Linked DNA regions of Lepisosteus oculatus. The protein of the gene in region 1 purifies or fractionates together with the protein of each later gene. This does not show direct contact. Links are inferred from orthologs where the notes say so. Each region holds a gene or a part of one and is shown in the gene's direction. Other genes may lie near its edges.

Region 1 (11,169 bases):
ATTTGACTAAACTGGGATCTAGCGGAGATGCCACGGCTGCCCAGTGACTTTTCAAAGGAGGCGTGTCGCTGCCACATACACACAGAGCATGGAGAACAGAGCCCAGCTCTCTCCAGGGCCACCCCTGTCCGTCCCGGGCTGAATCAAAGTAACCCGGACGCCTGCAGGACTAGGGCTGGTCAACGCTGATGTACAGATGATTCAAAACCTCACAGCTACTTTGAAAACAGAGTCGATTTTTGTTTGCCACGCCGTATGCAGCCTCGAGCTCAAAGGGTGTCTTCGTACTTTCTGAAGCAATTAATAACAGTCAAACTGGGCAGCCGAGACCTCCCCTCACACCCGTCCTGAGCGAGACCCCTGGCCACCCTCACATGACAAGACCCCGGCCGCCCCTGGAGCTGCTTCAGGAAACACACGGGGCTCTCGCACGCCTCGCGCCCCTGCCTCCTGCAAACCCTGCGGACCCCACCGAGCGTCTCCGCCCGCCTCCCACCGCCGGCGCCCCGCGAGTCAGGCGCCCGCGCCGCGCGGAGCGGCAGGCGAGGAAGAGGAGCCCCCCAGAGTCAGGAGAGAAGCCCCCCGCTGTGGTACCTGGTCGCACCCGGCGTTGACGAGCTCCTGCAGCATCTGCCGGTTGACCTCCGGGCCTGGCGAGGAGCCCGAGTCGTTGGCGAAGGGCAGTAGCGACCGCCGGATCTCGCGCAGGGCGGTCTGGTAGTTGCCGAACTTCTGGGGCGCGCGGGGGTGGTGCTGCTGCGGCGGCGGCCGGCCGCCCTCGGCGCCGCGGCCCCCCTGCAGCGCCTGGCTCACCAGCTTGGCCGGCTGCTTCAGGCCCTCCTTGATCTCCTGCAGGCGCTGCCGCGTGTTGCCCGCGTACGGGGTGGCGGGGAACGTCTTCGGCCTCATGGCCGCTCCCGCCCTCCCCCCGGCTCCTCTCCGCTTGGCCCGCGCCGGACGCTGCTCTCAGTCCTCCTCCCCGCCCCACAACATCAACGGACGGGCCGCCCAGAGCCCGCCCCGCCGCGCTGTCCGGACGCAGGCTTTAGTGGGGCCTCAGAGGACCGGGCTCCCCGCCGTCCTGCAGCCTGAGAGAGAAGGCGCCGTGCCCGCTGACCGCTCCATCCCCACGGGGCCTCTGGGAAGACAGACGGGGGGAGAAGCGTCAGCAGAGCCGCGCGCGACCGGGCCGAAGCAGGGCCAGGGCTGGACTGGCATCCCGTCCGGGGTGCACCGCTGCCTGCTGGGATAGGCTCCAGCTCCCCCGCCACCCCGAACTGGATAGAGGAAGTGGGATCAGCGGGGTGCCGTGCGCCATTTGACAGCCACACCAACAACTCTGACCCCCTTCCCTTTTCCTGTCTGCGCCCCCCCAACACACAGCGGGAGACAATGGGCATCTCTGCAGCTTTAGCGAAATGTCTATTCCCATGATCTGAACACACAAGATCCCCCAAAAATGCACATTTCCCCCCCCACAGGTAATAAACACCAGTTTTGTCAACATGTCTTCCTCTACCTTAACGGGCTAAATCTTAGCGGTGGCAGGACACGCAGTCATCTGAAACGGACACAGATTTCTTCTTCTTCTTCTGTGTAATACTGTCCGATTTGTTCGTATAGTCCTTTACGCGCAACGCCTACGTGTAAATGTTATACGTCTGCTGAAACTGCACACACTCTGGTTCTGTTAAGACTCTGAGGAGGCTGAAGGTCCACCTGATTAATACAGGCAGCATCGAGAAAGCCAGGGGCCTGGGTAGCCAACAGCTGTGCAAAAAAAACAGGCTCCCAATGACAGCAGTTAACAACAAACAACTCCACTCAAGACCCGAACGTGGAACCCAGACATACTGTATCCTGCTGACGGGCGCCGGGGGTGGACCCTTCGCTTGTCACGCGAAGTCTGTTCGTCAGCGGAGCTAACCGAGAGGCGAGACGCATCCGATTTTGTGAAAATCAACTCCCCTCCCCTCACGCTCGTTAGAGGTAAAAATCTCCAACTGCTTCATCTTGATCGCTAATGAAATCTCACGTGGACGAAGGCGGGAGCACGGGGTCACACCCAGGTGATGGCTACGTTATTTCAAAGACCCCAGAGCAGATAACAGCCTGGGCGGTCCACCCGTTGTCAGAGGTCCGCACCGACCCGGAGCCTGACCCGGCAGGACCGGGCGCTGGGCCCCGGGGACGGACCTGCCCCCCCACATACCAGCCGAGTCCTGCGGACCCTGTGGGAGGGTGACCCGAAGGCACAGGCTCCCCCAGGCTCTGCAGGGGAGCTCCACTGCCACTGCCCATGTCCCCAGAGGGACTGAGGGGACACCACTCCGATGGACAATAATAATTCATAGCTCCTCACACTTCTACAGCGCTTTTCTGGACTCTCCACTCAAAGCGCTTTACAGGTCATGGGGATCCCCTCCACCCCCACCAGTGTGCAGCCCCTCCTGGATGATGCACCAGTACGCTCCCCACACACCAGCTCTCAGTGGGGAGGAGAGCAGAGTGATGAAGCCAGTTCAGAGAGGGGGATTATTAGGAGGCCATGATTGGTAAAGGCCGGGGGAAATTTGGCCTGGACACCGGGGGGAGACATCCCTACTCTTTGTGAGAAACACTCTGGGACTTTTAATGACCACAGAGTCAGGACCTCAGTTTAACGTCTCACCCGAAGGACAGTGGCTTTTTACAGTACAGTGTCCCCATCACGATACTGGGGCATTAGGACCCACACAGACCGCAGGGTGAGCGCCCCCTGCTGGCCCCACTCACACCTCTTCCAGCAGCAGCCTTAGTTTTTCCCCGGAGTCTCCCATCCAGGTACTGGCCAGGCTCACACTGCTGGGCTCCAGTGGGGCTGCCAGCTGGGAGCTGCAGGGGGATGGAGCTGCTGGCCGCGCACGTTGTCACAGAGCCCCGGCAACACTAAAGCCGAGGGCCCGTCACGGACCGACTGCCCGGCCGCCGCCGGTCAGGTCTGCAGCCGTGGCCACACCCCATCACCCCTCCTGGGGGGGGAGGGATCTGGGGGACTCGGCAGCACCACCTGCACCGCCCTGCGAGACGCCGTGAGAGCCCCTTCTAACCCGCTGCTTCCCAGCACGCTTCTGCAGCAGCGCCTCCTGGACAGCTGTGTTGTTCCTACATTAGGTGCGCGATAAAACTACCTCATACTGCAGCGTGCTAACATTTTAAACACCCTAAAATGTCATTGGTAAGGAACATTCTGGATTTCTTCCATCTCCAGCATCATTTCCAGAAAAAAAAGGCGTGTTCTGTATAACGGAGAAAGAAAATAATATGCAACTTGTTTAAAAAGTTCGGAACGTGGGCAGGAGATCTTGACACGTCTTTATAATAAATATAAGACACACCTCTCCTGAAAACCATGCGGCTGCCTGCAGCTTACACTACCTCTAATGCGACTAAATTAAAAAAAAACCCTGATCAATCTGATAAATTACAGGGATGCTTCTGAAGTAAAACGCTGAGCTTTTATAGACGTCTATCGATACCTTTTTGCAATAAGTGCAATATCGCACAATAATGGAAAGGATAACGAACGCGGAGGTGTCCGGCCACCGCAGTCGAATTGAACCCGACTCTGCAGTTCAATCAACAACACAAACAGCGTGGCCGCTGGGAAGGACATGGACGCGACAACAATGTTTCACAACCTCCCAGTTCACAGTTCACACACAGTGGTGGGACGGTCAAGTTCATCTTTGTGCCTCTTAAAACAACACCCAGCTGTATCCTGTAACATCTGCTTTTCGAGAGACTTACACTCGGATACCGACCAGACTGTAAACGGGTTTTGAAGTCTGTCATACAGACGGCGGAGTTCATGAGAATCGAGAGACAGGGGCAGCGGGCGGCAGGCACGATATGTGCAGCAGCTCGCTGGGAAACACATGCAAGAGACGACGGTGCCCATTTAAACCGTGGTAACAGTGTCAGCTTTGTAGCAACCCGAAAAATGTTAAAAATGTACAAGACAGAAGCAGACGCTGCGCTGAACCCATCAACCGATACAGAGTATATACACGTCCACGGGCACCGACAGACGGGGAATTACACGATCTGCCCCCTCGTTTAATTTCTCTGCCAAGAAAAAAAAATCGGCACATTGAAAACGTTTTAGGCACTCAGCTCTGCTGCCGTTTTTCGGAACTTCGACTTGCATATGACAAAACATAATCATTACTGGCTGTGCTCTCTTCTCCCCACCTCCTTCTCGACAAAACGATGAAAACCCCTCCGACACCTTACCATCGTCTCACGGGCTCGTCTCGGTCCTTCGGAGCGCTGGCTGCCTCCCCAGCCCCTTCTGCAAGCCGCGTGTCTTTTATTTAGATGGCAGATCCCTAGTTAACGTCGTTCCCCCCTCCAAAAAAAAAAAAGTTAAGAAAAAAAACTTCACAGAGCCTGTTCGAGTTGGGGCTGAAAGTTTGCGATCTGGTCCTGATTGGAGTGACTGGAACGCAGGTCCGGAGAAGGAGCCCGACATTCCACCTTAGGGAGACTTTGAAGTTTCATCGGCCACCCCCCCCCTTCTATATATGTTGGCATGTGCGTGCGTGCGCGCCTTCAGTTGAAGACGAACGCCCCTACCCGCACCCCACATCGGCTGTCGAGAACAGAAATACATTTACGATTTTTAAAATTAAAAAAAAAATCATCGAACCGCCGAAAAAAAATCGAAAAGTTGCACCTTTCCCAGACGCGGGAGCATAGCAACCACTCGCAACAGCAAAACGCGTGCATTGTAAGAAAAAGTAACGGTAAACTCTCTAAAAACAAACAAACAAACAAACAAACAGAAATGCATCAGGAGAAGGGGAAAGTTACCTTATCTGCTGCTGCTGCTGCTATCGTGAACGGGGCTGTCCTTCAGCCACCCAGCTCAGCTCAGTGCCTGCGGCCGGGGCTCACGCCGGTATGAGGCTCCATTTTCTCCCTACAGTGGGCTGAATTAGGACGCTGTGCTCAGTTGGACACTTTCTGCATCGCTCGCATTCCAGGGGGAGCACGTGACGCCCCCGGATCACGTCAGCGGCCCGCGCGCTCGCGGACTGGGGGGCGCTTCTAGCGCTCGAGCGCGGCTTCGTGACCCAAGAAGAAAAAAAAAAACAAAACAACCAAAAACCCCACAGACGCGCAGGGCGCCCCGGGAAGCCAGGAAGCCGACTGGCAACACGCCCGAATGTGTGTCTTTCTGTTTTGTCACCCCCCCCCACACACACACACAAATCCCAGTGTTTAGGCTGAAGTCGTTATTGAGCCGCAAAGGAACAAGTTTTAGGTTCATTCCCGGCTGAAAAGAGAAGGAAGACAACACAACGTTTCGGCTGTTGAGCCTTCTTCGGGGGGTTATTCAGCCTGAGCAGATCTTAAAAATCAGTTGTTGGCTATAGAAATCGCGTCAGCTACAGATAACTAAACGTTCAGTTCATAGCTACAGGTGACTGTACATTTGGTTAAACGTACAAGGCCCCAGTAGCCAAAGTACAATTAAAACCCAGTCTTAGACGTAATAAATGAAGGAAAAACAAACATGCACTAGGAGCGGCAACCCCAAAAGTGAACGAGGGGCAGGTTGGTGAAGATCACCTCAAGACCCGCGTTAATTTCCTGCCATTTTAGCCAACATAACGCGTAAGAAGAAGCATCAATAACGCAGGACAGGATGAAACAGTCGCTAGGCTCCGGTTACTGAGGCTGGAGGGGTGCTTATTGTTTCAGATCTAAGCGGCCCAGAGCACTAAGGAGTGAAAATGTGCCGCTGGAAAAGCGTGTTAGAGTGCAAAGCAACCGACTAACATCGAGGGAAACCGACAAACGGCTTCCTTGTTTCAATGCTGTCATTGCGCTCTGGACAGTAAATCTAAGGACGAACCGTTTTGTATTGTTTTAAAACACGTCCAAACATCCACATAATTATCACGCATATTAATTCACGCACAGAGCGCTTTAAACACCATTGAGTTAACTCATCCAGATTAGATTTGAATAGCCTGGTCACCAGGACAGCCTCTTCTGAATCGGCTAGTTTGTGACAGCTTCTTCCAAGTGACAGTTTTGTTGTTTATAATTTCTTCCCACTGACCCTCTGTACCACAGTCCCCAGTGTCTCTCAGCTCCTTTTAATAGCGCTGCGATCCGGTTCGTCACGCGTTGCATGAGCAGATCTTGCTAGATGTACAGCTACAAGGAGAGCTGAGGAATTCAGTGTGACAGACGTGTTTGCGCCTGAATTACGTCGGATTATATCTCCTGGTAGTGATGCGGATCAGCTGGAAGACCGCGTTGTGTTAGAAAGTGAGCTATTATCTTTGTGACCCGTGGACCCGTTATGAGGTCCCACTGGGAAACACGACACAGGTTCGCAGACTCAGCCCGTCAGGAGTTACAGTCAAAGAGCCGCAGTACAGTCGGGGGGGGGGGGGGGTCTGACTGTAAATATGTTTCCTCCCTCTTTGTAAACCAGAGGTACAGTATGGAAAGGAAAAAAAAGCAGAGCAGATATTCTTTTCTTATCTCTCTACAGACCAGAGTGTCTCAGTGCATTAATAAAATTCAAAATGTTGAAGTACTGAATAAAACATAATAAATACCTCTATCAGTTCCACAGAGTGTTGAATTGCTTCATCTACGGATTGCTTAATATCATTTTTTTTTAATGAGTGACTCTTGGATGATCTCAGCCAGTAAAAACCTTCCGTTCAAAACTGAAGAGATGGACGTATTTTTCACAGAAGCAGGAAAGCGGACACCTACTGTAGCACACAAGCCCTAAGGAATGGCCTGGGCTGGAATATCTTGAAAGCACACATTGAAAGTCTCGACACAGGTAAAATAAACACAAGAACAGAATGGATACGGGCAAAAGGAGGCTTGTTTGGTTATTAAAAGCAAATTGACCTGGGAATCTTATTTAGCCTTCTCTTTAAAGAAGCAAAGTCAAATACACGCAACTACCAAAATAATGGAAACACCAACAATATGACATATTAATAACATCTTCAATGGTACATACTGTAATACAACTGCACTTTACAAAAAAGATTTAACAAGATAAGTAAAGATAAGGAAAAACTCTTGGGAAAAACTAAGGTTGCTGCTGGAAGAGGTGTTAGTGGGGCCAACAGGGGGCGCTCACCCTGTGGTCCATGTGGGTCTTAATGCCCCAGTATAGTCAAGGTCCTGACTCTCTGTGGTCATTAAAAATCCCAGGGCATTTCTCGAAAAGAGTAGGGGTGTAACCCCGGTGTCCTGGCCAAAATTTCCAATCGGCCCTTACCAATCATGGCCTCCTAATAATCCCTATCTATGAATTGGCTACATTACTCTGCTCTCCTCCCCACTGATAGCTGGTGTGTGGTGAGTGTTCTGGCGCACTATGGCTGCTGTCGCATCATCCAGGTGGGGCTGCACACTGGTGGTGGTGGAGGGGATCCCCATTACCTGTAAAGCACTTTGAGTGGAGTGTCCAGAAAAGCGCTATATAAGTGTAAGCAATTATTATTATTATTATTATTATTATTATTATTGTTATTATTATATAAGGTCCGCACAGCTGTCATGTTCTTACTGTTAGAAATAATCACCTTTAACCTAAGCACTTCAGAATAAAAAGGGTGTGCGCCTATTTTAGTCATTATACGATACGGAGAAGTCGCATTTTGATTGGCTCCATAGCCTTTAAGCTCATTCGCGGGCTACGTATCCTGTTACGTCATCACGACCCGTGGGTTGAACCGGAAGTTATACTTGTGTTTGTACGGGGTCGGCGTGAAGACGCGGGGGCGCTTTCTGGGAAAATGGCTGTTGAATCTCGAGTCACTCAGGAAGAAATCAAGAAAGAACCCGAAAAGCCCGTCGATAGAGAAAAGGTGAGTTGTGTTAAGCCGTTTTTGTCTATCGAAGATGCGCACGCACGGTTTGAGTGGTGCCTTGTATTTTGTTTTCTGGAAATGTGTGGAACGGTGTTGTGTTGGTCTCCATTAAACGCTTCAGTAGGTATGTGCTGTGTAAAACTGTGTTTTCATTTCGTGTTTCTTCGCATTTTGGGTAGTTGTACAGTGTCTCCCTCAAAGACAGTGAGACTTATTGAGTTTTCAGTTAAAACGATTTACTTTCTCTTCCTAATTGCTGCCAAACGTGTGCGATGCGAAGCAATACGAGTTGAGAAAACGGCGATAAAGTATATGTTTTTCTCACTTTCTTTCCTTAGTGAGCAAAATATACTTAAAGGTCATTTATTTACTTACAACGCGATGAATGTAGATGTAGCTAGCAAGTTTGTAATGCATCTTTTGTGAAACACGATGGTGAGCAGATACCACGCTTGAGACCACCTATCGGTTTCCCGCAACTGAAAAAAGCTAGGTACTTATTTTTGTTGTTTTGTTTGCAGACTTGCCCGCTGCTGCTGCGGGTGTTCACCACGAACAACGGCAGACACCACAGAATGGACGAGTTCGCCAGGGGAAACGTGCCCTCCAGCGAGCTGCAAATCTATACCTGGTAGGTCTGATGACACTTCACACCACGGGGCTCCCTGCTTGGGCCGGGGGAGCCCCACCCCAGCAAGTTGTTTTATAGGTCATCATAAAATAAGCAGTTTCTGAAGATATGGACCAATTCCACTGTAACCACCCCTGGAGCAGCTGGGGTTAAGGGCCTTGCTCGGGGGCCCAACGGAGTAGGATTCCTCTGCCGGCTGCGGGATTTGAACCAGCAACCTTCCAGCCACAGGCACAGATCCTGAGCCATAGAGCCACTGCACCGTTAAATTAATTTAGAGATATTTTAGGACTAAAATCTATGTACTTCTCAGATTTCAGGGATTAGTTATATTAATGATATCCTTACACCTATATAGCTCTTTTCTGGACACTGTACTCAGTGCTTTGCAGGTAATGGGGATCCCCTCCACCACCACATGGATGATGTGGTGGCAGCCAGAGTGCTCCAGGCTGCTCCCCACACACCAGCTCTCAGTAGGGAGGAGAGCAGAGTGATGAGGCTTATTGGGAAGCCATGACTGGTAAAGACCAGGGGGAAATTTGATCAAGACATTGTGGTAACACCCCTACTCTTTTTGAGAAACACCCTTGGATTTTAAATGACCACGGAGAGTCAGGACCTCGGTTTATTGTCTCATCCGAAAGACGGTGCCCATTTACAGTTTGGTGTCCCCGTCACAGACCCACACAGAACGCAGGGTGAGCGCCCCCTACTAACACCTCTTCAGCAGCAACCTGAGCTTTCCCAGGAGGTCTCGCATCCAGGTATTCGCCAGGCTCACACCTGCTGAGCTCCACTGGGTTGCCAGCTGTGAGTTAAAGGGTGATAGAGCTGCTGGGTCTCTGTTAATTGAACAGATTACTTGCTTGGTCAGTGTTGTCTTACAGTCTTTAAAAAGAAGTTGAGCAGTACTGGGGCTCTCCAGGACCAGCTGGACAGACTAACTGACCAGAAGAACAAAGCTGTTCACCTCTGCAGGTGCCCAGACCTGTTGCAGAGCCCTGATCCGAGAGACGTGGGCCCTGCGCTATCAACACGCGCCATTGGATATGGCATAGTTGTGGTGGTACTCAGAAGGCCAATGCTTTCATCACAAGCAATGAAATGACAAATGTAACTCTGTTGGCCTGCTTGTTTTAATATGCCAGGTCGAATTCAACCGGAACGCCAAACTTTTCAAAAACTACAAGAATGATCTTGCAGAATCTGCTGCCAGCTCCCCTCCCACGACCGTGGAAAACCTTAAGCTGTGCTGAAAGTGCAAATTTATTGTCTTGAGGTGACATTAGCCAAATATGGAGTAGTTATGTTTATTTTTCAAATGTTCTCCTGCTGTTGGAGCTGAAGTTAAGTGCTGAGTCTTAGCTTCCGTCTTGGGTACTTTAAAGAGTAATATTGTCTCAAATAGGATGGATGCTACCTTGAAGGAACTGACCAGCTTGGTGAAAGAAGTCTATCCAGAAGCTCGGAAGAAAGGCACGCATTTTGGCTTTGCCATCGTGTACCCTGACCCTAAAAGACAAGGCTACAGGTAAATACCTTGAGAAATACCGCCGTTACGGGCCGAGCTTAAACGCGCAGCGGCTGTGTTTGAACTGTGACACCTAAGATGATCTGCCCTTGGTCCTGTAGAGTTAAAGACATTGGGAACACGGTGTCCGGGCGGAAAGGAGCAGACGATTCCATGACTCTGCAATCGCAGCGGTTCCAGATAGGAGACTACCTAGACATTGCCATAACGCCGCCGAACAGAGCGCCGCCCCTGCCTGGACGCATGAGGCCCTACTGACCGCCGGGGACTGCGGCCGCTACGTTTTATATCCCCTGTGTTTCCTATTAAAGCCTTTTTTTCCTGCCTTTCCTGATTTAATTAATGTCGCTGTAGCTTTTTTTTTCTGGAAGCGTTTAAGGAAATTTAGTTTGAAAGCTCCTTTCATTTTTTCGTGAATTTTAATTTGCGTTGGATTTGGTAATTCAATTAAACGATTTCTGTGAAGGTGTTTTTTCTGAAAGAAATCTCGTGTGGGGAGTATGACGTTTTTTTAAAGGTGGGGTTTGTGTGAGCGTGCGTGACTGGGTCACAGGTGTGGAGTAACAGATTTACAGGAATTAAAACTTTGAGATTAGACCCTTGAGGAACCTGGTTTGGTGTTATACTGCTATTCGTCCTTGATCATGCTAGATGGCTGGTCTGGTTGATCACACTGTGCCTTGGTCTCTGTTAACCCCTCCAAACTTAAATACCCAGATTTAATTCAGGGGGAAAAGTTAGAGGGGATGTTAACAATGAGGGTGTTTGTTCTGGAGTTTTTCATGCTTAAAATTGCAAGTGAAGATTTAAGATCACTTTAAAAAGCTGATAGTATTTTACCCACCCTGTGTGTGTATACAAACAGTCTCTAAAATCTTCACACCCTTTTGAAAGTTACCCCAATAACACCCTTCAATGAGAATTTTACCCTTATTTGCACATTGTGACAACCTCCAAGTGAAAGACACACACTTAAACATTCTGAAATGTATGCTAGAACAACAGCCGTAACTGTATAGGTCCGTACAGAAGTTGCATGGCTAGGTCTGGCAATGTGTCCATTCCACCTTGAAGACGGGGAGGGGAAAGCAGACTGGGGCGCT
Region 2 (10,649 bases), on another chromosome or scaffold:
AGCAGGTTAACCTACCAGTATGTCTTTAGACTGTTTGAGGAAACCGGAGCCCCCAGAGGAATCCCATGACAACACGGGGGAGAACATGCAAACTCCACACAGATAGCACCCCAGATCCAGAATCGAACCCAGGGGCCCCAGCACTGCGAAGCCTCTGTCCTTGTGATTGGGTAAAGACCTGCTGCTGCGCTGTGTGCACATCTGCCCAGCTGTGCTCTTGTCTCCCTCCAGGTGTACAACGTGCGTGAGCAGCAGGTGGAGGAGCCCCAGTTCCCAGTGCACGTCGACATCGACATGGTGCGCGTGATGGGCGTCTTCCTGGCACAGCTGCGGTGAGTCGGGGCTCCCTCTCGCCACGGTTCAGGGCCCATGTGCAGTTGGGGGTCTCCCCAGCCCGCCGATTCGCGTATTCCCAATTCAATCGGGCGTGGAAGGAGAGCGGAGCGAGCCGAAGGCTGTGAAGCACAGCTTTCAGATCAGCGGGGCAGCAGACTTGGGGGGGTGGCGAGACCACTCCAGCTAGTGTCCGAGCCTCTCGGGCCCCCTGCCCGAAGACCCACATCTCGGGGCGCTCTGGTCTTCATATCATAATGAACACTCCAGGTTCTGTGTCAGCAGTGTGAGTGACAGTCCTGCTGCCTGTTTCATTACAGTGAAACAGGTGTTACTCATGAAGACAGTTGATGTGCAGGCTGAACGGAGAACAAAGATTCCTGTTGTTTATTTTAGCTGATTACTATACGTTGGTGATTACTGTTGTTTCTTTTAGTTGTTGGGCGTTATTTAAACTAACTTAAAGCCAATGCATTAGTGCTTTCAATACCATATAAGGGATGCTTACGTATGGCTTTTAAACATACATACCATATACTGTGGTACATTATGAAACGGTATAAGGGTGAATTTGGTTAGATGCAAATCTGGCTATTTGTGACAGTTCTCTGCACCGAATCCTCGCAGGTGTTGAGAACCTACTGTGTACTTCCCCCGTGATGATCGAGGTGACGCCTGCTCAGCGCACACCCCACAGTTCCACACCCAGACCGCTCGGTCACGCTCGCCTGTCTGTGATCTGAGCTGCCGAGGGCCAGCGTTGTGACAGACGGACAGGCGGGTCTGGCTGAGCTGAGTGGGTGCTTATGGGTAGGGTGAGTCGCAGGTCTCGGCTTGATGACGATGCTGCCTGGGGGTAGGGCGTGGGTGTGTCGCTCCTGCCTCTGATGCGCCGCGTCCCTGTCCCCGCAGGCTGCTGCTGGGGGTGCAGCAGGTCCACGCCCCCCCCGGCTACCTGCTTCAGAGCCCCGGCAACAAGGGGCTGACGGACTGGGAGCTGGACCGCCTGCTGTGGGCCCGCGCCGTCGAGAACATCGCCACCGCCACCACCACCCTCACCTCGCTGGCCCAGCTGCTGGACGAGATCGGCAACATCGTCATCGACGACCACATCGCGGAGCAGGTGAGCGTGACCCCGCCGGTCATTGAAGAAAATCCGAACCCACACCTCATGGCACAGCATGCCTGCATGGCTCTTTGCTCTGCTGCCACACGGCTCCTGGATCCTGGGTTCGAGTACTGGACCTTCTGTGTGGAGCTTGCACACTCCTAGGATGTTTCTTGAAAAGAGTAGGGGTGTTACCTCGATGTCCGGGCCAAATTCCCCCCTGGCCTTTACCAATCATGGCCTCCTAATAATCCCCATCTCTGAACTGGCTTCATCACTCTGCTCTCCTCCCCACTGAGAGCTGGTGTGTGGGGAGAGTACTGGTGCATCATCCAGGTGGGGCTGCACACTGGTGGAGGTGGAGGGGATCCCCATTACCTGTAAAGCACTTTGAGTGGAGTGTCCAGAAAAGGGCCACTTTTTTAGTGATTTTTCACCACACTGACAGATGGATCAGGTTTGCACCCCCTGCTGGACAGATTGCACTCCTTCCTTGCCCCAGTCTCCTGACTGAAGTGTAGGTTAAGTGGGATTCTTTCGGCAGCCGCTGGCTGTTCCACTTGGTTGAGGAAGACGTGATCTGAGCGAGGTCCTCCTCTGCTTGCAGGTGTACAGCGCGGTGAGCTCGCTGCAGCTGGCCGTGGCCGAGCTGGAGGCCGGGAACCTGGCCTTCGCCTTCCAGTCCAGCAAGGAGGCCATCCTGTCCTCGGAGAGAGCCTTCTTCGACCCCTCCCTGCTGCACCTCCTCTACTTCCCCGACGACCAGAAGTTCGCCATCTACATCCCCCTCTTCCTGCCCATGTCCGTGCCCATCCTGCTGTCGCTGCTCAAGATCGGCAAGGAGTACCGGCAGAGCCGCGCGCAGCGTCCAAAGAGGGACTGAGAGGGGCCCCGCTCGGCCTCAAGTGGACCCCCTTGACCTCTCTCCTCTGGTTTTCTATACATGCATCTACGGAGTGTGCAAGGAACAAGTCCAGGTTTATTTTGTGCTGAACGGAGAAGAAAAACGCAGCGTTTCTTCTGATGCTTGAAGAGGGCTCCACAGCCGAAACGTTGCGTTTCTCTTCTTCTTCTCTTTTCAGCAGGGAATAAACCTCTGCTTGTTCCTTTGCAGCCCACGCGTGCTGACGCAGCTCCCTGCCTGAACTGTACAGAATGAGGGTGTGTGTGTGCTTCCCCTGAAGAGGACCGGCATGGTAGTGCTTTGTCAGGGCGTAAGACCTACTGCATCCCGAAACCTTCTTGAAACGTTCTTCAAACGGTGCACGCACCTGGATCAGGAAGGTTCAAGTCCTACTTCTCGGTCCCCTTGGCACCATGAATAGAAATATGCGTCACAAAGCAAGCAGCTAGCCTGCCTGTCATTAGGCATGCAGTAATTGGAGTAGGTACGTCAGCATGCGTAGGCTGTAAAAGAACGGCAAAGGGTTTATTCCGTGCTGAATGGAAAAGTGTAGAAGGCTGCACAGCCAAAATGTTGTCTCTTTCCCTTTTAACATGGAATAAACTTTTATCTGTTCCTTTGTATACAGTAAATTACTAAGGTGTCTGCTCTACGTTGAGACCAGCGCACTGGTTTCAGAAGGGTTGTGGGGATTGGCTTTCTACCGGCATTGGGCCCAGCACTGAAATATGCTCATCACTGGATTATTTTCGAGTCTGCTGTTCATGGATCGCAGACTTTCTCGTTATGACGTTTTGGGTGCTCGACGTGTCTGTTCATTCGCTCCTGCAGCTCAAAGGATCCGCGATGGACTCGGTGTCGGAACGCTCTCCTCTGTCGGATGGTTTTCCCGGCAGGATGTGTTGAACGTGGAGGCAGTAAACACAGTACGAATGTGATTGATCTGGATGCCATGCTATTTCTGTCTGGATCAGTATATGTATGCGTGTGGTTGTGTTGTTTTCTTGAGTATTTGTTGTTTGTGTTTCTTAGAACCTGTTTTCTTGTGGGGTATTTCTTCAACATTCTTGATTGTTGGATTTATCTATTAAGAGAACAGTTAAGCAGATGCTGTATGAAGCACAGTGGGTGAGAGAGAAATCTGTGTGAAAACTATTTTATTTATTGTGTTGATGGTATATTTTAAGATTCTTTAACACCTTGATAATAACCCCCTACATGAACACGGCTCTTTGTATTATAACATTAAGAATTTAAATGTAGAAATTAGAATTACCTCACGGCCAGTGTTGTTGCATGAGAATGAAATGGATTTCCTATCAAAGATCAATTATTTTTATTTCTAAACTAGAAAACAGAGACTCTCGGGAAAGGGAATGTCAGTGTAGCTCCGAGATGAATTCTGGGACTTCGTTGGCACAACAAACCTTTCCTAGAGCAGAAAGTTTAAATATCACACCTGTGGTGTTCCTTGGCAAAAGAGTTACAGTTCCCAGCAATAAATCAAAGCCTAGACATTAAACAGAAAGTAAATAAAGTGTATAGGCACAAACAAACTGCTTGAAACCTGCATGTTTCTACAGAGGTTACCCAAGAAAGACTGTACACGATAGTGGTTGAAACAGGCTTTAAATCCATGCCTGCATACAGCACAGGTAGTAGTTCAGGTGGGTAGCTGCGTCAGCATGCGTAGGCTGCAAAGGTATGCTGCTTACAATTGTATATGGGGTTGTACTGGTAACTTGCAGAGAATGACCTCTTAACTGGCTTCATCCTCTCTAGAAACCAGGAATGTATTTCCATTCCCAGGAGCTGACAATATTCCCGAAACTGCCTTGGGAAAAGAGGAGGGGTGCAGGCTTTTTGGGAAAAAGAGTTGTGGGGAGGTGGGGTGGGGTGAATTGCCCCTTATCCCCGTTGTGCTGTTGTGTGCCTGGAATGTGGCGCCTCTCAGGCTCACAGGCGAGACACGAGCACCCTGCTGCCAGCCTGTTTCACACAGCAGATGCCCCGGGCTGTCGCCCCGGTCCCCATGCCTGTGTCCAAGTGCATGAAGCCGAGAAACTGCAAAAGGCCCTACACGCGTTTCAGATTTTTAAGATATTAATCAGACGTTTTCAATTTGTTACATTACTGCTCCCTTTTTAAAATGGGAAGGTAATGACTCAGGGCCCCTTGCGACAAAAAAATACAAGTGTTGACTGAATTAAAATCAGGCTTTTCCATTCAGTGGCCAATTTCAAACTTAAATCCATACACTCTGCCACTGACGTAGGCTTGAAGTGAGCTGTTTTTAAATTTCGTGCTGAAATCCTTGTTTTCAACGTAATGGAGTGTTGCAGAGTGAGGTTAAGGCCCATGCCTGCTACTAACTTTGACCTGAACGTGTTTTTTTTGTTGTTGTTGTTATTGTTTTGTACTTTTTATTTTTGGAGGGGCAAAAAGAGTCGCACCAGAATCTCTGTGAATCAAAATAAATAAAAACAAACACAGATGAAGTGTGACTTGTGAGTCCTCTCCAGTTCAGGGAAAGTGTCCCTGCTCTTTGTGTTGTCTAAGGCTGATGTTTGTGTTGGTTTGTTGCTGCTTAGCAACCAATAACTCTGCTATGGGCTCAGTGAAGAGGGTGATCGTGTTTAAATTTCTGTTTGTTTGTCAAGCAAACTTATTTCAAATACTGTCGGTTATTCCACAAAGTTTTAAAAAGAGAGCACACAAAGAGAAAATGGCCGACTGTTCCCGCACGGAGTGGCCGGTGCTTTGTCTATACAGAAGCCAGGAGCCTGGATGCCCTTGAGGGGTTTTATCTGCTGTCCAAAGAGACTAACGGACACGGTTACCCCCCCGTCCAGTTCAGCTGTGAATAAAATCCACATTCTTGAAAACACTTAATCTGTGGAACTGCTTTCAATCTTTCATTTTCATTGCTATCGCCGATTAAGGCAATAAATAGTTTGCATTTCGATTTCAGATTTGGGAGTCATCTTTCGAAAAGCGTCTCATTCAAACAAGTTTTTAAAAGCGAGTGATGCACAGCACACTTAAGACTAACAAGCTATTTATCTGTAATGTCTGTTTCTGGGCGTCTGGTCCTAGAAATCTGATTTCTCAACACTAAACCGTTCTTGGATACACTGATATTGTAGGGTGTCTTTTATCTTTTTGTTTTTTTGCATTAGGCATTGTAATACTATCGAAATCTCTTATTTTTTCAAACCTACTTTATGTAGGTTTTGCACAATTTGAAATTATGAGGTCTGTTGATTGTACATTGCCTTCGATAAATAAAGTCGCTATTTTATAATAGAAAAAAAAACACATTTTCTCAGTTTTCAGAAACTCATAGTAATTTGAAACTGGCGCAGGAGGGGCTTCGGGCGACGCGACCTAAACGACGTCACTGTAGCGTGTGGCCCCCCAGCATAAAAGTTCAGGGTTCGCTACAGGTTCCTCCGTTATTTTATTTGCAGCAGCGGAAGAAAAATATCGAAAAAGCCAAAGCCTTTTATACATTTATTTTCCCTAGTGGGCATTTAACGTACTCGGTGTTTTAATTTTATTTTCCACGCTGGCGCAGCGAAGTGGTAAACAGGGGATTATTTTATAGGTCGGAGGTGCACTTCCAAGCCGGAGAGCGCGGAGCGGGCTCGGTCGGTTGTGTTCCTCCGCCAGCGCAAGACGGTTCAAACGACTGGGACAGCCGGCGCCATTTTGAAGAAGGCAGGGAGCGGAGTGAGTGCGTGGAGACCGAGGCGCACGCTAGAAGATAAACGGGGCATCAAGTTTGCAGCACGTGAGCCGTGAGCGGGCAGGCTGCTAGCCGTTTGTCATTTTTTTTGTTTTAAGTCGCGGTAGTAGCGGTTGAGCGGTTTCCTCGCACGATGTCTGGCGGTGGTGTGATTCGGGGCCCTGCTGGGAATAACGATTGTCGGATCTACGTGGGGAACCTGCCCCCAGATATCCGCACCAAGGACATCGAGGACGTTTTTTACAAGTACGGGGCCATCCGGGATATCGACCTGAAAAACCGGCGCGGAGGACCGCCGTTCGCCTTCGTGGAGTTTGAGGATCCCAGGTGAGGGAGCCGGGCAGGGAGGAGGGAGAGGCGCCGTGGGCAGCACGCGCGGCCTGCGCGGCGCGGGCCTAGGGGGAGGCGCGCGCGCGGTGGGTCCCGTGTCTGCACGATCCTGGTGGTCGGGGCACCCGGAGCCCTGCCTCGTTTGTGCTCGGGGGGCGTTTGTTATGCCTTTTTGTTTTTTCTCCATCGATTGGGCGCGGAGTCTTGTGCAAGTCGAGAGCTAAGGACCCGTTGAGCGTGCGCCTGGCTCTTACAGGTCATGCGGTGTCGTACCCTGTGGCCGGGGCGCTGGAAGTCGATTGCCTGGTCTGTGCGAGGGCGCACACGCGTGTTCCTGGCTACGTGGAGCTGTACCGAGCGTTGGTCAAGCTTATCTGAGCAGATCACTCGGAATTTCGATGAGGCCCTATAAAAACTGCGATGGTGCTGATATAAGCTTCTAGCCGGCTTCTCCCGCGACGCGGCGAGGGTCCCAAAACCCTCCAGAGTCTTTGTTCCTTTGTTGATTGTAAAAAGTTTTCTCTTGGCCCCGGTTTATATGCTGAAGCAGTGATGCAACTTTTCGATCGCCGTTGCAGCGTTGTAAATACAAATTGTCGTCTGTTAAACTTTTTTTTGTTTCCTTCCGCTGGAGATGAGGGACGGGGTCGATAATTAAAATAACCTCGGGGTTTCCCCTAACTTTCGGGAGATTAAACACCAGATGGGGGGGGGAAATACTAGTTCACAGCGCCGTGAAACCATGCTTCACCTGCTACTTTTCAAGCATGCAGGATGTTTCCCCTATTGTGGTGGTTTGGCGCTCATTTTCTCGCCATGTGACGACCGCCGCCAGCCTTGTTGTAGTGGAGGAAGCTGGCGGCGCTCGGAGCCTTCTTATGATTTCTGTGTCTAATTCTGTCAATCGCGGTGAAATATTTGGAATACTGGCATTCACCGACAAATGCTTTATCTTTATTGTAGTTTGCGTTTGCCCCCACCTCATTCCTGACCCCATCTTTGTCTGAAACAGTTCATGCGTCGACTTTGCTCACCTGGTGTCTTTTATTCCTGAGCTGCCCAGAAAAATGAACATTTATTCGTGCATGGGGGCACGTTCAAATGATAGTAGTGCCAATGGAACAGTTTCGAATTCATAATATCACGCGGTTATGAAAACGTGCTGTGCGGTTTGGTTTATCGCGATATGGGACCTGCTGACGACTCGCCGGAAACGCGGATGAGACTGAAAGACATGCGAATATACTCGAGGTACTTTCTGCAGCTGGTGTTCGCCTGTATACACGTGTCTTCCCCTGGCAAACTGTAGGGTGCCTTCCTGCTGTTGTGGGGAAGCATATTTGTTTAAATTAAGCTTTGCTAACCAGCAAACAAATCCACTGTCTTTCCTTCTTGTACACCCTGGTTTCTGAAATAGCTTCAAGTCCTGCGTGTGGTGCTGTTTTCAGGGATGCTGAGGACGCAGTATACGGACGGGATGGCTATGACTATGATGGATACCGCCTTCGAGTTGAGTTCCCCAGAAGTGGGAGGGGCACAGGTAGAGGGGGCGGAGGTGGGGGGATTGGAGCCCCCAGAGGCCGATATGGCCCCCCCTCTAGGCGATCGGAGTACAGAGTCATAGTTTCAGGTAAGCCTCACTACTGGATATTGCAAATCTCTATGCATGAAGTACAAATGGAGTCTGTTACTCTTAATGCAACAAATGATTCTATCTTATCAATTCTTCAGTATACTAGTCATGAATGATCTTTTTATCAAGAGAGAGAAGTTCACATTTGGAAATATTTCCCAATATTGTGAATTTCTAACTGCTGTGAAATCATTTCAACAGTTACAATTAGTCATTGGGCAGTAATAGTAATAATTGCTTACACTTATATAGTGCTTTTCTGAACACTCCACTCAAAGCGCTTTACAGGTAATGGGGACTCCTCTCCACCACCACCAATTTGCAGCATCCACCTGGATGCAGTGAGTGTTTTTTTGTGGGTGGTCAGTTACAAATGCATCTTTCATCTTGTATTGATCTGGGTTCTTCTGCTTTGCTTCCAGTTGCTTCTTTTGATCAGGTCTGCAATTCTCTGCTAGGCTCATCTTCTCTTGTAGAGGTCTTCCCAAGTGGCAGTGATTCTCTCGTATGTTATGCTGACGTTTTCCGAGATGGAACTGGTGTTGTGGAGTTTGTTCGCAAAGAAGATATGACCTACGCTGTACGAAAACTGGATAACACTAAATTCAGATCACACGAGGTAGGTTTGAGGTTTTCTAACTGGACCTGCATTGGATACAAAGTTCATAAATGTTGGATTTTTCTTTTAAGGTAAGCAAATGAGCTGGATTTAATGACATTTACTGGGACCTTCTTGTAAGTGAGATGTCCCAATGAATGTCGCCTGTAGTTTAAAGTGTCATTAGGCTTGGTGCCAAGCTCAGAATGCCATGCTGGAATACTGGCCCTGTGGTTTAAAAGATTTAACTGACTCATTTTTGCCCATTAGCCTATTCTAAAGAGGTATGTATGTTGGGCACTTTTTGAAACTAATGAAACGGCTTTCTAAGACTTGTATTTCCTGAAATATCTAATTTATGTGATTTCCCACATGTTTCATTTTCCCTGAAGCAGAAGGTGTCTCATTGATCTTATAGTCTGCATGAATGTGTGCACAGAAACTGCTACTTTGACAGTTACCTCTTGCATTGCAGAAGATTCCCAACTTTTGGTCAGACCAGCGAATCTATTCGCAGCTTAAACACCTTTTAAAATTAAGCATTTTATCCTGGTCTAGTATTTTGTGCACAGCAAAAAAAAATACCGCCCCTATATTAGAGGGCTGTTGGTCTGCTTCTCCTTTGGTCTTGCTTACCAGGGCACATACTTGTGCTAATGAGGGAGTAGATCTCAGCTTTAAACGGGGAGTTAGAATGATCCCCACCTGGCTTCCCTTTCTCCGTATCCAGAGAGGGTTGATTATAATTTGCCTTTAGGCAGAAGTCAAGAGGTCGTGGCTTAACGCAGGGCGGCTTGTAAAACCCTGGGATTCAAGTGTGTGCAGCTCGTGCTGCCCACTGAAAGGCACTAATGGGTTCACGTATCCCAGATGCCTCAGCAGTGAAAGGTTGGGGACTACATATTGGGATGCAGCCTAATTGCCTTTCATGTTGACAATGTCTTACTGGGGTGTCTTAGCCTTAATAATCCCCCCGTTGATTTGGGCAAAGGCCGTGTTTTTAAAAAAACCGTTAAACCTGTAAACCTGTTCTGGTTTAGCAGTGTCTTCTGACGGATGCAGGGATTCTTGTCAGAGGGGGAATCATGGCGCGTGCAAACCCGTAGCGGGGCCTGACATGAAAACCCAGTTGTTTGTAGTAGATGGAAGGGGACAGGCTGACAGGAAAGACAGAGATGGTAAGTGTCTGTGGACGGCTTCCCCCGGGGTGTTTTTTTCATGAGCCAGTTCTCTCCGTGTCCACCAGGGAGAGACCGCGTACATCCGTGTGAAAGTCGACGGCCCCCGGAGCCCCAGCTACGGACGCTCCCGCTCCCGGAGCCGCAGCCGCAGCCGGAGCCGCAGCAACAGCCGCAGCCGCAGCCGCAGCTACTCGCCGCGGCGCAGCCGAGGATCGCCGCGCTACTCGCCGCGCCACAGCCGCTCCCGCTCCCGCACCTAGGCCCGCCCGCGCCCCGCGCGCGCCCCCGCTCTCGGGGTCCTTCGTTGTCGTACAGAATTTTCTTTCCCTGTTTTATTAAAGTTTGCTACGGTTTTTGGATATTAAATTGGTTTTGCTGGTGACCTAGTTCTTCATAAAAGAAAAACTGGTCTGTGGACATGTCCCCGTCCTGTCCTTCCCAGTCCTCCCACTCCGCAGTCGACATTTTCCCTGTGTGCCCTGCCTGAAGTGTATTTTAAACACTGTATAGCCTGTTTTTTTTTTTACAAATTGAAAGTCTGGGGTCTTGGAGCCGAAAACAAAATTGGTATTGCTTTGTCTTCCACCATTTTGTCAAAGGTGGGGTTTACTGCTTGCTTGTTTGGGCGGGGGGTGGGGGTGGGAGGGCTTAACCTGCTTTTGTGGAACAGCGGGAGTCATTGTAAAAAATTTTTTACCTTTTCATGTGTCTTTCTATAGACATCTGAAGCGAAGGATTAAAGAATGCTTTGGAATAAAGGATTGTGAAGCACAATTCATTCATAGTAGGATAATCAAAGCGTGTCTAATTGGAG
Region 3 (10,456 bases), on another chromosome or scaffold:
GGAGGTCCTCCCAGCTAGGGGGCGCTGTCGCTGCAGGGGGGCAATGTGGACCCTGGACTGCCTGATGGAACCAGGACATCTAGAGAGAGAGGAGATCACAGAGAAGCCCTCAGTAATACACACACAACAGGACAGGAGACACAGTGAGAGAGAGGAGATCACAGAGAAGCCCTCAGTAATACACACACAACAGGACAGGAGACACAGTGAGAGAGAGAGAAGATCACAGAGAAGCCCTCAGTAATACACACACAACAGGACAGGAGACACAGTGAGAGAGAGAGGAGATCACAGAGAGTCCCTCAGTAATACACACACACAACAGGACAGGAGACACAGTGAGAGAGAGGAGATCACAGAGAATCCCTCAGTAATACACACACACAACAGGACAGGAGACACAGTGAGAGAGAGAGGAGATCACAGAGAATCCCTCAGTAATACACACACACAACAGGACAGGAGACACAGTGAGAGAGAGAGGAGATCACAGAGAATCCCTCGGTAATACACACACACAACAGGACAGGAGACACAGTGAGTGAGAGATAGGAGATCGTAGAGAAGCCCTCAGTAATAAACACACAACAGGACAGGAGACACAGTGAGAGAGAGGAGATCACAGAGAAGCCCTCAATAATAACATTACTAATAATAATTGACAGGGCGTGAGAAGTGCTCTTACCGTAGCACCGTAAAGGAATAAAGAAATGTCTCTTTGCCTCCTGTTCCCGAAATGTGAACCGCGATCACGCGTGTTTATTTACGTCTCAGTCCATGTCCTCCCGATATTCTTCAGGCACCACGGTTACACAGACACCCCCGGTTCGGTCCCTGGGCCTTTCCTTGCCGCCGCTGTCGGTACACAACTCTCGGAGTTTGCCTGGGTCTGTGGTGTGTGTGTTGTTATTGTTGTTACTCGCCCGTCTGTGAAGGAAGGAAAACACCACAGCTTCCGGTTTTAAACGGAAACCGGAAAGGGCTGGTCTCGACGAGAGCGACCGGAAAGAGCCGAGGGGCGATCCCTTCCGCTCGGGTCTTTCCGTCAACTCGCGCTGTGGACGCGCAGGAGCTTCTCTGTTTCCGGATCACGACCGGATTTGTGTTCTGTTGTGTAGACAGGCCAGAGCAGTGTTTTAGTAGCCGAAATAATAATAATAATAATCATCGCTGCCGCTGTTGTCATCATCACCAGCTACAGAGTCGATCCCCCTGCTGATGTCGCAGGAGAGACGTGCCGACAGCGCCACCTAGCGTTGGTAAAAGTTTGCGCCAGTAGCGGTTTAATTCCGACGCGGATCTGCAGACGCAGCACAAACCGCTTGAGAAGAGAGCTCTGCTCTTTTTTTATTATTAAACGTATAAAGAATTTTACAGACACAACCAGAGGATCGGAAACAGACAGGCACAAGAGAAAAAAACACAAACAGAAAAAAAAACAGTTAACCGCCAGAGGTAATGAAGTCAATGATGTGTTCGGATGATTTTTGGACAGATATCAAACGTTTTCCTTGCTGTAGCATTTCTCAGTTTTTTTAATAGAATTTCGTTTCAACTCCACCTCAAAAGTACTGAAAGGGGGAGTGTTATTGGACCATTTTGCTTGATGAATGTGACATTTACCCAGAATGACTATGATAAATGTACTATAAATAAATGCTTATTAAACAGCACAATCAAATATCAAAATCCCTCAATCTAAAAACACCTTTAACTGCCTGCACACAAAACACTGCAAGTCCGTCCAGAACAGCTTCCCAAACCCACCCCAGCCCTTGGGTCCCGGAGCGCAGCCCGAGCCCGGCTGTGCCAGCGGGGGAGATCTATCCGCTCGACGGAGGGCGGCTCGGGCCCGGTGATTTTCTGCGCGGACCTCAGAACCCCCTGTACGGCCTTTCTGTCCTGTCCTGGGGCTCCACTGCACCACCCCGGAGTGCGCTGGCTCTGGGGCTCAGGATCTGCGCCGTGATAATATGACTCTGATTTTACTCTGTAGTCGTATGTAGCTCTCTGAATGGTCTTGAATTCATTCAGATCTCTGAATTAATGAGCGGCTGATCGCTGATTGGGGTGTTTGGCCTCCTCTGGGGCTCAGGAGCTGTGCCTGTGGCTGGGAGGTTGCCGGTTCGAATCCCGGGGCTGGCAGAGAAATCCTATTCCTCACTCCGCTGGGCCCCTGAGCGAGGCCCTGAACCCCAGCTGCTCCAGGGGTGCTGTATAAATGGCCGACCCTGCGCTCTGACCCCCAGCTTCTCTCCCTGTCTGTGTGTCTCCTGGAGAGCAAGCTGGGGTCTGTGAAAAGACACATTCCTGATGAAAGAGACTGTACAGAGACAGGAAAGAGATCTGATCTTGATTGTACAGGGCCAGTAAAGAGATCTGATCTTGATTGTACAAAGACACTAAAGAGATCTGATCTTGATTGTACAGGGACAGGAAAGAGATCTGATCTTGATTGTAAAGGGACAGGAAAGAGATCTGATCTTGATTGTACAGGGACACTAAAGAGATCTGATCTTGATCGTACAGAGACAGTAAAGAGATCTGATCTTGATTGTACAGGGACAGTAAAGAGATCTGATCTTGATTGTATAGGGACAGTAAAGAGATCTGATCTTGATTGTACAGGGACACTAAAGAGATCTGATCTTGATTGTACAGGGACACTAAAGAGATCTGATCTTGATTGTACAGGGACAGGAAAGAGATCTGATCTTGATTGTACAGGGACACTAAAGAGATCTGATCTTGATCGTACAGAGACAGTAAAGAGATCTGATCTTGATTGTACAGGGACAGTAAAGAGACCTGATCTTGATTGTACAGGGACACTAAAGAGATCTGATCTTGATTGTACAGGGCCAGTAAAGAGATCTGATCTTGATTGTACAGGGACAGGAAAGAGATCTGATCTTGATCGTACAGGGACAGGAAAGAGATCTGATCTTGATTGTACAGGGACAGTAAAGAGATCTGATCTTGATTGTACAGGGACAGGAAAGAGATCTGATCTTGATTGTACAGGGACACTAAAGAGATCTGTGAGTTGAGAGCACAGCCGTGTGCTCAGCCCTGTGTTGAGGATCGGGGGGGGGGGTGTTCACCCCTCTTTTTGCACGTCTCAGAGTGAAAGTGCCCTGGGGCATACGAGCACCCGTACCTGGCCCCGCTGGCCGAGAGCACCCTCCTCCTCCTCCTCCTCGTGAGAGCGGTGATCGGACCCTGTCGGCCCGAGACCTGTGAAGGTTACTCTTCCGGCCCGGAGGAAAGCCTTTCCGACTCTTCCTGCCATGTCCCCCCCAGGGCATTCCTGCAAGCCGCTGGGACTGGAGCCCCTGAGGGTCTGATATTGAAGACGCTCAGAAGGAATTCCTGACACCTCTATAGCGCCTTTCTGGACCCTCCACCCCTCCCCCGGCGCTGTCCAGTACTGGGGACCCCCTCCACCCCCCCAGTCCGCTCACACACTCCAGCTCTCAGTGGGGAGGAGAGCAGAGTGATGAGGCCAGTTCAGAGAGGGGGGTGATCAGGAGGCCATGACTGGTAAAGACCAGGGGGAGTCTGTCCAGGACACTGGGGTCACACCCCTACTCTTTCTGAGAGACACCCTGGGGTCTTGACTGACCACAGAGGCAGGACCTCAGTTTTACGTCTCATCTGAAGGACGGCGCCTTGTTTACAGTCTAGTGTCCCCGTCACTGTCCTGGGGCATTAGGACCCCCACAGACTGCAGGGTGAGCACCCCCTACTGGCCCCACTGGGTCTCCCACCCAGGTACTGGCCAGGCTCACACTGCTGAGCTCCAGTGGGCTGTCAGTGAGCAGTAGGGGGATACGGCTGTAAATAATAATAATAATAATAATTACACTTATATAGAGCTTTTCTGGACACTCCAGTCAAAGAGCTTTACAGGTACTGGGGATCCCCTCATTTTCCCAGGATTCTTTTCCCGTTCACAACCGTTTTTTTGTGCAATATATGCCATGGACCCGTGCAATACATTTATATTTATATTTACATCTATATTTAGATTCATATGTGCAATACGATCTTTCTGTTCCAGTTTGTTCTTTGTGTGTCCTGGACTGTGAGGTACTCTTTTAGTGCACTTCTCACTGTACTGATTGTATAGTATGTATTGTATTATTATTATTATTATTATTATTGTATCATTCGTTACACTGTTGCTGTGTTGTCTGTGTTAAGCTGCTGTTGGAGTGCAGTTTCCCTCACGGGATCAATAAAGTATCTAGTGTCCCCGTCACTGTCCTGGGGCATTAGGACCCCCAGAGACCGCAGGGTGAGCGCCCCCTGCTGGCCCCACTAACACCTCTCCCAGGTACTGGCCAGGCTCACCCTGAGCCCCAGTGGGCTGTGTGTGAGCTGCAGGGGGGTACGGCTGCTGTTGTTATTCATGTCACCAGACAATGGCCACCTGGCATACAGATTCGTCTGTGTTTAATGTAATCTGTAATACAAGAATCCATCCATTCATTCAGACTGTACTCAGATTCTTCAAAAACATCCTGAAACAGTCCTACACACGTCTTGTGTCATATAAACTAGTTCAACGATGTGACCCCTCTTGTAATGTTAATCAGGTTGGTAGTGTTGTGGCTGATGTCCTGTTCTGCTGACTTGTATGATGTTTTTGTATTGTTATATCACAATGTCTGTATATTTATGCCCTTAATTGTCGTAATTTCTTCTTTGAAGAATAATAACATAGAACCTCATTTTATTTTTTTATTATCATGGTAAATATTTAGCTGTCTCCCTGGCTTCAGGTCACCCTCAAGCTTCAGGTCAAGCCCAGCAGAGACAGTGTCTCTGCCCCTCCGCTGGGAGAGATGCCTCTGTGTCTCCGGGAGGGACAGTAACACCCCTCTGCAGTCTCACCCTCTCTCTGACCTCAGGGCCCAGCGCTGGCCTGGGCTCTGTGTGGGTGATGCTGTAAAGACTGGCTTTGTCCTGAGACTCCCAGAGAGTCCTGCTGGGAGCACCTGGTGGACACTGTCCCCTGACCCTGCTGTCCACTCCAGCACAGGACAGGAGGACACTTTTCCCTGACCCTGCTGTCCACCCAAGCACAAGACAGGAGAACTCTGTCCCCTGACCCTGCTGTCCACTCCAGCACACAACAGGAGGACACTATCCCCTGACCCTGCTGTCCACACCAGCACAGGACAGGAAAACTCTGTCCTCTGACTCTGCTGTCCACTCCAGCACACAACAGGAGGACACTGACCCCTGGCCCTGCTGTCCACCCCAGCACAGGACAGGACACTGTCCCCTGACCCTGCTGTCCACTCCAGCACAGGACAGGAGGACACTGTCCCCTGATCCTACTGTCCACTCCAGCACAGGACAGGAGAACACTGTCCCCTGACCCTGCTGTCCACTCCAGCACAGGACAGGAGGACACTGTCCTCTCCCCTCTCTCCCCTCTCTCCCCCCTCCTCTCTCTCCTCCTCTCTCCTCTCTCCCGGGAGCTCTGTTTCCACTGAACAAGTACAGGTTTACTCCCTGCTGGAAAGAGGAGACAAGAAACACAACGTTTCGGCTGCGGAGCTTTTTCGGGTGTCGGGCGGGTTCCTCTGGAGCCTTTTTTAGCGAGTTACCACCCTGCACCTGTGTCCGTGTCCCCTAATGCGTGTGTAAGCGCTGTGGGTGGTGTTGTTGTACAGGGGGATATAGGCTGGTGCTTGTTCCCCTGTCTCGTCTCTGCTCGTCCTCTGTCCTGCACGAACCCATAGGCCCTACAACACCATCGCCAGGGGCACCTACTGCAACAGACCTGAACTTGACCGAAAATCGATTACACAAGGGAAATAAATCAAGATAAAGGCCAGCGCGGCTTTCATGTTCTCACTTTTAAAAATACTCTGCAGATTCGCCCTGACGTCTATTTCAAACTGCTCAGACACGGGTGTCTTCCCCGACTTTCTGTATATAACAACGTGCAAGTTGTTTTTGAGTCAGTAATGACGAATCATTTGTCCGCAGATGACCGACGACGCCTCGACCTTCGAACTCCTGTGAGCTGCAGGGGTAGCTGACGAGTGCTGTCCGGAGATTGCCGAAGTAGCCTCGGCCGGCCCCCCTCCGGAGATTGCCGAAGTTGCCTCGGCCTGCTCTCTCCGGAGATTACCGACGACTGAGCCTCGCGTTCGATCCCCCTCCCGCTCCTGCTCTTCGGGCCTCTCCGGCTCCGGAGAAAGCCGAGCTCTGACGTCAGCGGGGGGGAAGGCGTTGCAGCGGCCGAGCCGGGGAGAGAGAGAGCGAGCGAGCGCAAGAGCGAGGGGGGAAAAGCAAAGATGGCGGAGCTCGAAGACGTTACGTTGGATGGGAAGCCGCTTCACTCGCTCCGGGTGGCGGACCTGAAGGCCGCCCTGGAGCAGCGAGGCCTCCCCAAGAGCGGGCAGAAGAACGCGCTCATCAAGCGGCTCAAAGGGGTGAGTTTGGCCGCGGTTCCGCGGGGGGCTCGGACGGGACTGGGGCGGCAGGGGGGGGCGGCAGCAGGCTCCCGGAGCACGAAGAAGCGAGCCCTCGGGTTGGAGTCCGCGGCGGCGGCCGCCCCCCGGCCCGGGCGGGCGGGCGGGAGCGAGGGAGCGAGGGCGCGGGCGGGCGGGAGGCCCAGGCCCGGCGCCCGGGGGCCGGGGGCGCGGCGAGGGCGCCGGGCCTGCAGGCTGCGAGCGGAGCGGCGGCTGGAAAGTTGAGCCGCGCCGAGGAGGCCGAGAGGGAGCGAGGGGCGAGTGTGTGTGTGTGTTTACGGGAGTCGGCGCGGCTCGGTGTGTCGGTTAGTTTTTTTTCTGAGTAGAAGTCGACGAGCCCGCGCTTTGTGTGTCTGTGCGCGTTCACGGAGAGCGAGCGAGGGGGGCCGTTTCTCCCGGGTGCGTGCGCGCTCTCTTGCTCGCGCTCGCAGGGGGGGGGGGGTTGAGGCCGGAGGACTGAAGGAGCGGGGATGTCGCGCGCTTTTACAGTTTGTGTTTTTCTGGCGGTGTGACGTGGACGAGGCTCGTTCCCGGGGATTAGCTGTCAGCGAGTGCCAGCGGCCGGAGTCGCGCTGGTTGGAAACCCGGCGCTCTTGACGGGGGGCGTCGGGGGGCTCCCTCTCTGCGAAATTACGAGCCTGTTGGGATCCCCCCGCTACCCACGTGAGCGCGCGCGTCGGCCACTCGCGATGATTGGTTTCAATTAAAGACGCGACGCTCTGTGCAAAAACACGAAGGTTGTGATTTTCAGAGGTGTCGACAAATCAGGCTGGGGGGTCTGTGTGTTTGAGTTGTTGAAGTTTGACGCCCCTGGCCAGGACCCCGATCAGGTGTGCCGAGAAGCCCGGTTGTGCTTTTCTGTGCCATCAGACTGCTGCTGCACTGTGGAGTTTCTCTCTCGCTGGCCGGGAGCTGTGACTGCACTGCACTGTCTGTGTGCGATGCTGTGTGTGTTTGTGCATGTGCTGTCATTGGTTCACCTCCCTGTGTGTGTAGGACGTGCTCAGTAAGTGTCAGTCCAGATCCCAGGACACTGTCAGTAAGAGTAGGGGTGTCCTGACTGGTCAGTACAGATCCCAGGACACTGTCAGTAAGAGTAGAGGTGTCCTGACTGGTCAGTACAGATCCCAGGACACTGTCAGTAAGAGTAGGGGTGTCCTGACTGCTGGTCAGTCCAGATCCCAGGACACTGTCAGTAAGAGTAGGGGTGTCCTGACTGGTCAGTTCAGATCCCAGGACACTGTCAGTAAGAGTAGGGGTGTCCTGACTGGTCAGTACAGATCCCAGGACACTGTCAGTAAGAGTAGGGGTGTCCTGACTGGTCAGTCCAGATCCCAGGACACTGTCAGTAAGAGTAGGGGTGTCCTGACTGGTCAGTACAGATCCCAGGACACTGTCAGTAAGAGTAGGGCTGTCCCGACTGGTCAGTCCAGATCCCAGGACACTGTCAGTAAGAGTAGGGGTGTCCTGACTGGTCAGTCCAGATCCCAGGACACTGTCAGTAAGAGTAGGGGTGTCCTGACTGGTCAGTACAGATCCCAGGACACTGTCAGTAAGAGTAGGGGTGTCCTGACTGGTCAGTACAGACCCCAGGACACTGTCAGTAAGAGTAGGGGTGTCCTGACTGGTCAGTCCAGATCCCAGGACACTGTCAGTAAGAGTAGGGGTGTCCTGACTGGTCAGTTCAGATCCCAGGACACTGTCAGTAAGAGTAGGGGTGTCCTGACTGGTCAGTTCAGATCCCAGGACACTGTCAGTAAGAGTAGGGGTGTCCTGACTGGTCAGTCCAGATCCCAGGACACTGTCAGTAAGAGTAGGGGTGTCCTGACTGCTGGTCAGTACAGATCCCAGGACACTGTCAGTAAGAGTAGGGGTGTCCTGACTGCTGGTCAGTCCAGATCCCAGGACACTGTCAGTAAGAGTAGGGGTGTCCTGACTGCTGGTCAGTCCAGATCCCAGGACACTGTCAGTAAGAGTAGGGGTGTCCTGACTGGTCAGTACAGATCCCAGGACACTGTCGGTAAGTCTAGGGGTGTCCTGACTGCTGGTCAGTCCAGATCCCAGGACACTGTCAGTAAGAGTAGGGGTGTCCTGACTGGTCAGTCCAGATCCCAGGACACTGTCAGTAAGAGTAGGGGTGTCCTGACTGGTCAGTACAGATCCCAGGACACTGTCAGTAAGAGTAGGGGTGTCCTGACTGGTCAGTACAGACCCCAGGACACTGTCAGTAAGAGTAGGGGTGTCCTGACTGGTCAGTCCAGATCCCAGGACACTGTCAGTAAGAGTAGGGGTGTCCTGACTGGTCAGTTCAGATCCCAGGACACTGTCAGTAAGAGTAGGGGTGTCCTGACTGGTCAGTTCAGATCCCAGGACACTGTCAGTAAGAGTAGGGGTGTCCTGACTGGTCAGTCCAGATCCCAGGACACTGTCAGTAAGAGTAGGGGTGTCCTGACTGCTGGTCAGTACAGATCCCAGGACACTGTCAGTAAGAGTAGGGGTGTCCTGACTGCTGGTCAGTCCAGATCCCAGGACACTGTCAGTAAGAGTAGGGGTGTCCTGACTGCTGGTCAGTCCAGATCCCAGGACACTGTCAGTAAGAGTAGGGGTGTCCTGACTGGTCAGTTCAGATCCCAGGACTCTGTCAGTAAGAGTAGGGGTGTCCTGACTGCTGGTCAGTCCAGATCCCAGGACACTGTCAGTAAGAGTAGGGGTGTCCTGACTGCTGGTCAGTACAGATCCCAGGACACTGTCAGTAAGAGTAGGGGTGTTGCTTATCCATCCTTTATTGACCTTTGATCAGGGGACACCTCTGATGTATTCCTTGTTAATGCATGGTATTTGCTTACTGTAGTGTGCTGTGTTTGATTCTGCTCTAATTAGTTGCATTGTTTTGAATAGTGATTAACTGAGATTATAATCAGACTCCACTGACAGAGCAGTGTGAGACACTCCAGACTGGACTGGACTGACTGGACTGTGATCTTGATTAGTGATTCACTGAGATTATAATCAGACTCATTGACACTGACAGCTGTCTGAGCCAGTGTCTGACTGACATTAGTGGTATCGATGTGAGCTGTGAGAGGATGAGAGGGGGCTCTGGTAGAACTGGTGTCCTGGCCTGCTGCTCCAGTGATGAGTTACCATGCTAATACTGATACACCAGGCTGGCTGTGTGTCTGTCTGGGTGTAGGTGAGTTAAACTCTCCTTCTCACATTGTCTGTGTGCTCTGAGGAGATCACTGGGCCAGCCTGCCAGCCTCTGTTAATTTCTCTCTCCTGGGCTTCCTGACTGAGACCAGCCTGTTACCTTGACTTTCAGATTATCCCTGAGTCTGAGGATGGACTGACTGGACTGTGATCTTGATTAGAGATTAACTGAGATTATAATCAGACTCCACTGACACTGACAGAGCAGTGTGAGACTCTCCAGGCTGGACTGGACTGACTGGACTGTGATCTTGATTAGTGATTCACTGAGATTATAATCAGACTCCACTGACACTGACAGAGCAGTGTGAGACTCTCCAGGCTGGACTGGACTGTATGATTAGCAGTGTGTATCCTGAACACCAAGGGGCTGTAGTGTCTAGGCTGCAGTCTTCAGTATAGTGCGTGGGGCTGGTTGAGAGAGACAGCAGTGTGTCCAGTGCTGGTGATTGTGGTTCATGTCTAATCTATGTGTTTATGTTGTTTCAGGCTCTGATGTTAGAAAATTTGCAGAAGCACTCAACCCCTCACAGTGGGCTACAGCCCAACTCCCAGGTAAGACATCTATCTAGAAAGATGCGTGTTCCTCACCTTGCTGGAACGTGCTATACAGACATGCTGAGACAGACGGATTTGGTGGACACTTTTCCACACTTGGTGTAGATGTGCTGTGCAGACACTGTTTCTGGTTACCCGTGTCCGCCTGTTGCTCTGGGAGCAGACCAGGTGTGTTTCTGGTTACCCGTGTCCGC

The links.
Region 2: the proteins of sap18 (region 1) and srsf1a purify together in Homo sapiens (co-immunoprecipitation; 4 studies listed by BioGRID and IntAct, with this or other methods). This does not show direct contact. The link is inferred for Lepisosteus oculatus from reciprocal best matches to the Homo sapiens genes SAP18 and SRSF1.
Region 3: the proteins of sap18 (region 1) and acin1b fractionate together in Homo sapiens (co-fractionation; 7 studies listed by BioGRID and IntAct, with this or other methods). This does not show direct contact. The link is inferred for Lepisosteus oculatus from reciprocal best matches to the Homo sapiens genes SAP18 and ACIN1.

The regions. Positions count from the first base shown.
Region 1 is NC_090710.1:31,920,676-31,931,844, forward strand, and holds sap18 (histone deacetylase complex subunit SAP18), read left to right. Parts: upstream 1-7,765; 5' UTR 7,766-7,826; coding exon 7,827-7,898; intron 7,899-8,422; coding exon 8,423-8,532; intron 8,533-9,943; coding exon 9,944-10,066; intron 10,067-10,167; coding exon 10,168-10,324; 3' UTR 10,325-10,551; downstream 10,552-11,169. Other genes in the region: serine/threonine-protein kinase LATS2, read right to left, coding at 595-909. UniProt on the Homo sapiens protein: Component of the SIN3-repressing complex. Enhances the ability of SIN3-HDAC1-mediated transcriptional repression. When tethered to the promoter, it can direct the formation of a repressive complex to core histone proteins.
Region 2 is NC_090721.1:9,630,392-9,641,040, reverse strand, and holds the start of srsf1a (serine/arginine-rich splicing factor 1), read left to right. Parts: upstream 1-5,804; 5' UTR 5,805-6,226; coding exon 6,227-6,420; intron 6,421-7,871; coding exon 7,872-8,105; intron 8,106-8,551; coding exon 8,552-8,675; intron 8,676-9,900; coding exon 9,901-10,095; 3' UTR 10,096-10,649. Other genes in the region: pigs (GPI transamidase component PIG-S), read left to right, coding at 232-332, 1,246-1,456, 2,049-2,324. UniProt on the Homo sapiens protein: Plays a role in preventing exon skipping, ensuring the accuracy of splicing and regulating alternative splicing.
Region 3 is NC_090699.1:13,178,422-13,188,877, reverse strand, and holds the start of acin1b (apoptotic chromatin condensation inducer 1b), read left to right. Parts: upstream 1-6,223; 5' UTR 6,224-6,317; coding exon 6,318-6,455; intron 6,456-9,621; exon of another isoform or gene 9,622-9,733; intron 9,734-10,193; coding exon 10,194-10,259; intron 10,260-10,456. Other genes in the region: c4h14orf119 (uncharacterized protein C14orf119 homolog), read right to left, coding at 1-79.